2 linked regions of the Caenorhabditis elegans genome follow. The protein of the gene in region 2 interacts with the protein of the main gene of each other region in a biochemical or structural test. Each region holds a gene or a part of one and is shown on either strand. Other genes may lie near its edges.

Region 1 (3,924 bases), on a different chromosome or scaffold from region 2:
GCATCGCTAATTTCAAAAATGTAGACTCGCCGAATTCGCCGAGCTTGGCAAATTTTGACATTCACCGCACATAAAAAATATTTTTAATGAAAAATTTGTGCATGGTTTCGATCTGAAACTTCATGAAAGAATAATCGTTTTTCTTTCATTTTTATTCAAGATATACACATGAGCATTTGGCAAAAATCGAACGAAAATCGGTGAACTAATTGCAAGATTTTTTCATTAAATTTGACGCTTTTCGAGCTCAAAAAAATATTGCGATTTAGAGAGTATGACGACCACGGTAAATTTGCAGAATTTGCCGAGTTTGCCAAACTCGGAAAATTTCAAAATTTGCCGCACACCGCCTCTACAGTTGTTAAACTCTAGCGTGAATAAAGTATGGAATTCATAGAGTTTTTTGATCGACTTCCAAAATTATTATAGATAAAAACTGAGTCCACTTTTTGACTGTAAATTCAAAATTTTTAAAACAAATTAAAAATGTATTTAAAAAATAAAAATTTACGCATATTTATTATCTTAAGTTGCTAAATTTGTAACAAAATTTTTCTAAAATGCTTTGAAAACATTTGAAAGATTGAAAAATGAATACCTTTTGAAAGATTGGCAATGCCTGTAACTGCCGGATGTTCCCTGAACGTGTCTGATTGATTGTTCTGATCTATATTGACCTCTGAAAGAAAATATGGATTAATATTATTAAATTCTTTGAAGAAGAAATGAAAATGAAAAAAAAATGTTATGTGTCGCCTGGCTTCGACTGACGACGACGACGATCGAATTCTCAAATTTCAACGGACGAATTGTTGGCACACATAGACACTTACAAAATGTCAGGTCGACTTTTGTTAATTTTTGAGTATTCTTTGAACTTTTGGAATTCAGAAGTCAGAATATATTGTAAAGGAAAAGGATGAATCAGAAAGTAAGATTTAGATTGACTTTTGAGTGTTGTGCTTGTCTCTGGCTAATGGGTTAATTGCAAGAGAGGTCAATTTCCAATCTTCAGAGTTCATTCGTTTTGGAACTGACCTATTCGATTTTAATGTAGCTTATTTTTCACCAAAAAAACCTGTTTTCTTGGCAACAAACATGGAAAACTTATAGGCTACAGCAACTCTGAACTACTAAGGAATCACAGCACTTTTGATGAAATATGCAAGAAAATCATTTTTTCTAATCAATTTTCCTATTAATTTCACAAAACAATCGAGTGGCAAGGAGGGAACTTAAAAAATCAAGTTTTGAAGTTTTGAAATTTCCCACACATGTAGATCTCAACTCGAATAATATAGTTAGACTAATATCTAATTGAGTTCTAAACTCTAGTTTGAGACTAGACAATGTTTTAATACAAAATTTCATAGTAAACCTTTTCAAAAACTGGCAGTCGTTAAAAAAACCTTTTTCTTTTGAAATTTTGACACTCTACCAAAACTTTGAGTAAAAATGATTAGAGTGTTTAGTAATTATAATATTTGGCCATGTTTACAAAATTCTAAATTCTTACAGGCATTACTCTAAAAATTAGAAATGAAAAATATAGATAAGAAGGTACGAGGTAGGTGAAGGCATGTAGGTAAAAATTTTCGGGACTATGTTAACGGCTTATTGAATAATAGTCTCGTAGTCGAAAATAAACTTTTCTTATTCAAAAAAATCAATAAGGAATTCCAGTTTTCAGTGTGAATGTACCCCGCATTTCTTATCTTACAAATTAAAAAAAAGTTTCATGATATAAATTTTGTGTTCTAATCTGCAGAACAAAGAATGCAAACAAATTATGTTCGATGTTATCTAACTTTTTTTTGTTATTTCTACCAATCAATCTCAGTCAACATGAATCATATATATTTTCAATTGTTAGAAGATAGGAATATTAAAATAGAAACAATCTAACCTGAATTTGTGGAAGAATTGCTCATTCAATCAATAATTTATAGTTTGAAAGTTGATAGATAGGTACAATGACAGTAACTACTAATCAATTAGAATCAATTTAATTTCACTCTTCAATTTCTCAACTTTCGTACGAGTAGGTCTCGGTGTGTTTTCTCTATGTTTCTCTAGTTTTTCTGTGTTTTTTGTGTCCTATGCTACAAAATTGACTACGATAACAAAACTTTGATTTTGAAAAGAGAGAAAAAAGAAGGCGAAACGTACGTAAAATGCCTTTTTTCAAAAGAAAAATAAATGGAAGACGAGAAACTGGTTTCTAGACAGTGCGGGGCGATGATGTGTTGAATTTTGACTAATTATCGGATTATTCTGAGTTTAAATTTTCATTTCTCCGTATAAAACTTTGGTTTTGGATTCTTGCATATTTTTTCATTTATCAAAAAAAATTCCCAAAAAGCAGTGAACTTTTTAAAGGATTCAGACATGGTGAATCTGATCTATTCAAAAAACTGTGTTTTAATTGAAGACACAAACCATTAAATAAAAAAATTTTGTAATTCATTTCTTGGTATTGTTTTCGAAAAACGCTTAAAAAACGCTTCGAAAGAGCTTGTGAGTCTGAAAATGTTCTTCTGAAATATCGTTGCCACAGACTCATAGGCGTCTTCTTTAGAAATAATCTATGTATACTTTCAAATTTTTTTAAAGTTTTGTACACTTAGTCCAACATAATTGAATATCATTATTAAACGCTCCTAACGCCATTTAAATCTTTACAACTTTCAGTCAAAATTTGGTAAATTGCCAAAACTTCAACAACAAAGTCTTGTTATTTTGAGAATTTTTGCTGGTTCGAACCTGAAAAATTTTCAAAAAAAAAAGTTGATTAGAACGTAAATAATAAATTTTGTAAAAAATTAGTAAGTGAAAACTCTACTTGCGGTATTAAGCCTTTTCCAGTTTGTGATGCTTCATCTTCAAATCTAACTCTGAATTGCATATATCTGCAGTCAAAATCTTCCAAAATGCGTTTTTTTAATTCAAAATAGTACAAAATTAATTAATTATATTTTTCAACAGCTCTGAGATTCGAGAGGAAAACTATTTTAGATTATGTCCTAAATACAAGTTGCACAAAGCTTCGACTGAATCTTAAAAATTATTTTTGATGTTCGAAAACACAACGAGGTTGTTGGAAAAATATTTAAATAAAACTGAAATTTCAAATTATCAACTGTTCATAAAACTTTCCTTTATTCAAGAAAAACGCGTAGCTCATTGAGCACTGAGAGCCAATTCACAGACATACACACAAAAAAAGGCGTTGCGCAACGCAATTTTCTGTGACATTTAGCAAGAAACTCGTTCAGTGACCGACATAGTGCAACGTTAACTCTTCTACGGGGCACACCATAAAAGCGAACGACATGGGGATGTGAAAGTGAACGCATCACACGAGCTTCACCCATGAACTCTTTGATCTGCTCCTTTGTGAGATTCGAGAGCTTCGCCTGCTTGATCGCCACTTGAACTGACTTTCCTCCTTTCCGAAACTTCATCGTTCCCATCATCACTTCTCCAAATGCACCTTCTCCCAGCTTCTTCAGAGGCTCGATATTGTCGTGGTCCAGCTCCCAAGCTTGACGTGAGATTGCCTTGATGAGAAACACATCTTTTTGAACCGATTCCTTCTTAGTCAAGTGCCACTCCACCATTTCTGGGATTGACAAGAATGATACTTTTTCGATGAAGATCTTATCGCCTTTGGTTTTGATCACATAGTGTTTGATCTGAAATTAAAAAATACTTGAAAATAAAGTCTAAAACTATTTAATTACCTCTTCTTCCATTGGAGGAACGCAGTGCATCACACTCAGGATGTTACTTCTTGGTGATCCAGCTTGAGGCTCCGAGATGCGAATCACGAAATCTCCATTATTTTTCAAAACGGTTTTGACGTCTTCGCGGGGCAGGAACCCATGATAGTACGGCTCCTTTTCGATAGACGGTCGCTGCCTG
Region 2 (3,924 bases):
TTTCAATAGGCACCTGACACGTTTCCGGTTCATTAGAGATCATCGGCCGTCCAGGAACATCTCCGAGTGCTCGGGTGAGATTTAGAACTCCGTTCACCCGCAATTCGCCTCCAATCACAAAAAGCTGGCCGCCAGCTTCCTCAACACGCCGAGCTTCCCGTTCATCGGATGGCGAGTGTCCACGTGTCAACTGACGGAATTCAATGTTCGACATGACGTATCCGGGTGAGTCACCGAGCCACGCCAGCGCCATAAGCTTCTGATCCATGTCGATTGCACAGCAGACAGCTGTACTTCCACCCTTCCAACACTCTTTCACACTTCTGACAGTCATTCGTTCGTCGAGAAGCTCCAGCGACTTGCGAAGCTGATCTTCGAGGCTATCTGAAGGATCTCGCGATTTTCGAACCTCCAACCATGTCTCCCAAAGGTGCCCGGCTGCGTACTGAGAGCACTCGTGACCACCGTGACCATCGAACACCGCTAACACCGAAATTGGATCCTAAAAATTTCATTTTTCAGTAATTTTCCAGGCCTAAAATCCTCCTAAACCTCTCCACGATCCATATATTGCCCATTAGGATACGCCAAAAACCGATCTTCTTGCTTGTGACGTTGCCCTTTCAGTTGATCGCCCGACACGTGGATTCCAGACCACTTTTCAGACAGAATCGGGCACGTTTCGGCGTTTTGCTGGAGAATCTTGTCGATCGCCGGCCAAATTTTGTCGTTGAATAGCTTTTTGGCTTCTGAAAATAAGTTGTATTGATGAACAGAAGTGTTGAGTTTTTGAAGATTTTTTAAAAATTCTATTTAACAAGTTTTATTTTTGCAAAAATTAGCAGATCAATGGGGAATGGCCAGCTAAAAATATTTAGCAGACCAATGAGGATAGGTCTGCTAAATATTTAGCAGACTCATGGTAGGTATGCTAAATATTTAGCAGACCCATAGGTGGTCTGCTAAATAATTAGCAGACCCATAGTTGGTCTGCTAAATAATTAGCAGACCAATGGGGATGGGTCTGCTAAATATTTAGCAGACCCAAGTTAGGTATGCTAAATATTTAGCAGACCAATGGGGATAGGCCTGCTGAATATTTAGCAGGCCCATGCTTGGTCTGCTAAATTAATAGCAGATTTTGCACATTTAATAATTACCTGTGGTACTATCGGTAACATAAATATCAGGATTATACTGAACATCTCTGAACGCAACTTCACTGAATTTCTCGTCAATTTCTGTGGCGATCAAGTGAGACACCCAGTGACAAAAGTCGACCGCCTGGCCTCTTTTCATCATTTTCTGGAAAATGTCGTGAATCGCGTCTCCGAAAACATCATGAACTGGTCCGGCGATTGGTGGATGACGGAAACGTATTGGAATATGCGGTTGTGGAGTGTCGGCAACCTCGACGTCATAGCTAGTTTTCTCCATTTCATCTGCAAATGCCTCCTCCAGAAGTGACCGGACACTTCGACGGCGATCGCCGATGTGATCCTGGAATATACATTTTTCTAACTAGCATTAAATATATAAAATCCCGTTTTCTACCTCGAAAACCGCATCCCGCTCCTCGTTTACTTTTTCCATGTATTTTTCCAGTTTTAAAACCACTACCGGCTTCGGTGGGACAGCTGGGTTGATCTGACATTTCAATAATTGTTTTTAACATAAAAATCAGAGAAAAACCGAGAAAAAACAATGGATTTCAACACAAAATGAGGAAAAATCAACAAAAAAATAATGCAGAATTTTCTGCACCAGAAACGCGCAAAGCTTCTCGTTTGCGCACTTTCGGTGCGTTGGCGCGTTTCTCGCGCGAAATATTAATTTAATTCGCATTGTATTGTATTAATAACATTTTTATCAAATCAAAAATGGATCAAAAATTTAAAATAAAAATCAATTATTCATATATATCCATGCGCGCCAAGATAATCCCACTCCACATTCGGCGTCTGTACTTGGCTGTCCAAAAGATCCCATTCCTTCACTTTCGCCCTCTCCGCCCAATTACATGCTTCATATTTGTGGATATATGTCTCCTTGAAATGCTCCCATAGCTCATTTGCCACGCGATACTGAAACTCCACGTGGCATCGGAATTCAGCGGGGTCGGCTCTAAGCTTGGGTAGCGAGTTGTAAGCTTGAACTGCGGCATTTTTTCTCAACTGGGCGTACTTATCGATTTTCCACGTGGTTAGTAAGAAGAAGTCCTTGTAAAGAATAAGAAGAGTATCGATGATTTCACCGGTTTCCTGGAAAAATCGCAGATTTTTCTTGAGTTAACTCAAACGCCATTGAAGGCCGCCTACCTCATCCTCAGCACCCAAATTCTGAAGTTCCCTGCATTTTCTCCGAATCTCGTACAACGTTTTTTTATACTTGTCGCGAACCTCGTTGTTCTCTACTTCAATGACTCGTTGTCCGGCGGGAAGCTGAATTCATTAATTCAGTTCTTGATAAATGTAATTTTGAAAAAAATATGTTTAAAAAACCTCGGCAACGTCAATTCTACCGTTATTCGAGAGGGTGATCGGTGTGCGCTTGTAGATTTCCTAAAAATTTATAAATTTGAGAAAATCCGTGCCCGTGATTAAGAATATTCTCACCTCAAAAATATCCGGTTTTTTGATAATCTCGTTACTTTTCGAGTAAAGTACACAGGGGCGTTCAACATTTTCCTCCTCGGGATTCACAGAGATTTTGACCTGAAAATTTCTTGAGCTTAGGTATAGGCATACGTTTAGGTATTGTCAAAGGCATAGACTTAGAAATTGGCATAGACTTAGGCGTAGGCTTTGGCTGAGGCCTAGGCTGAGTCTTAGGCTTTGGCTGAGTCTTAGGCTTAGGTGTGAGCTTAGTCTTAGGCTAACCTTTAGGCTTAAGCTTAGGTGTAGGCTTAGGTTTAGGCCTAGGCTTATGCGTAGGCTTAGGCTTGTGTCTCCAGGCATAGGCTTAGGTTTAGACTTAAGCTTAGATTTGTTTTTTTTTTCGAAGGTTTCTCAGCAAAAAAGATTGAAAACATAAGACTCTGAAAAAAAAACGAAAAATATTACCTTTGGGTCCCGTTCAGCAATACGTGGGCTCTCTTTCACCGCAACTGGGCCTGCCAGCTGATAGACGCTGGAAATATTATCTGTAGCTGAATCTACAGTGCACAGGGTTCCAAGACATTGCCCCATTATCGGTTGTGACAGGGAAATAGAGGATTACTTGGCGAAGGCTCAACTTGGTAGGCCGCCTAATTTACAGTACCCCACGACTGCCTTGTTTTCGACTAGTCCGGGTTATTTTTAAATTTTGTTGGAAAAACAACAAGAAAATTGTACAATTTCATGAATTTCGCTGGCCTGGTGAGTACTGTAAATTATGCAAAGTGATGGAAAATAAATATTGAACGAATTTTTTTCGAGCCGGGGAAACTTAGAGAATTAGTTTTCTAGCCTTCAAATCATGTTCCTGGGGTTTTTTTCCAAATTGTTTTTCTCAAAAATTTGTAAGATTAACACTTTTCATTTAAAAGCAATAATGATTTCTGAAAACCTGACACAAAAAGTTTTTGGTAACTGGGAAAAAACATGGGAACGTTGATGATAACAATTTGAGATCCAAAAAGAATTCTCGGGTGTGTGGAGGGGAAAAAAAGAAAAACACTCAAAAATGTCTGCACATTTTGAGTGCAAAAGAGCAAAAAAGCAACAAAAAAATAAAATTTTTAACATGAAATTTAAGAAATCTGCAATTCTCCTTCGACGACATCCTTCAAGCTGAGAATCTCCAATCTTCCGTGTCCCTTCGTCTCATTTCGGACCAAATCGTCCAAAGCTCTGAACGATCCGGGCTCAATGAGCCCAACCATCTCGAGGCTTCCATCCTGCCAATCGTCAACTTCCACGTCACTGAATAGGGTTTTAAGCT

Evidence for each region.
Region 1: of the proteins of fem-2 (region 2) and unc-43, one has a biochemical effect on the other in vitro, tested with the Caenorhabditis elegans proteins (one study listed by BioGRID).

The regions. Positions count from the first base shown.
Region 1 is NC_003282.8:10,348,287-10,352,210, forward strand, and holds the start of unc-43 (Calcium/calmodulin-dependent protein kinase type II), read right to left. Parts: upstream 1,932-3,924; coding exon 1,907-1,931; intron 686-1,906; exon of another isoform or gene 680-685; coding exon 599-679; intron 1-598. Other genes in the region: Y43C5B.2 (Tyrosine-protein kinase), read right to left, coding at 3,159-3,695, 3,744-3,921. UniProt on the Caenorhabditis elegans protein: Acts in the signaling of a variety of pathways and processes. Phosphorylates 'Ser-319' of daf-16 in response to stress signals, such as heat, starvation and oxidation, which plays a role in prolonging lifespan.
Region 2 is NC_003281.10:632,980-636,903, forward strand, and holds the start of fem-2 (Protein phosphatase fem-2), read right to left. Parts: upstream 1,648-3,924; 5' UTR 1,594-1,647; coding exon 1,555-1,593; intron 1,501-1,554; coding exon 1,161-1,500; intron 750-1,160; coding exon 553-749; intron 503-552; coding exon 1-502. Other genes in the region: eakr-4 (EAK-4 Related), read right to left, coding at 1,914-2,261, 2,319-2,441, 2,502-2,561, 2,616-2,714, 3,063-3,188; sbds-1 (Ribosome maturation protein SBDS), read right to left, coding at 3,734-3,924. UniProt on the Caenorhabditis elegans protein: Dephosphorylates auto-phosphorylated Ca(2+)/calmodulin-dependent protein kinase unc-43/CAMKII in vitro. Involved in the regulation of sex determination.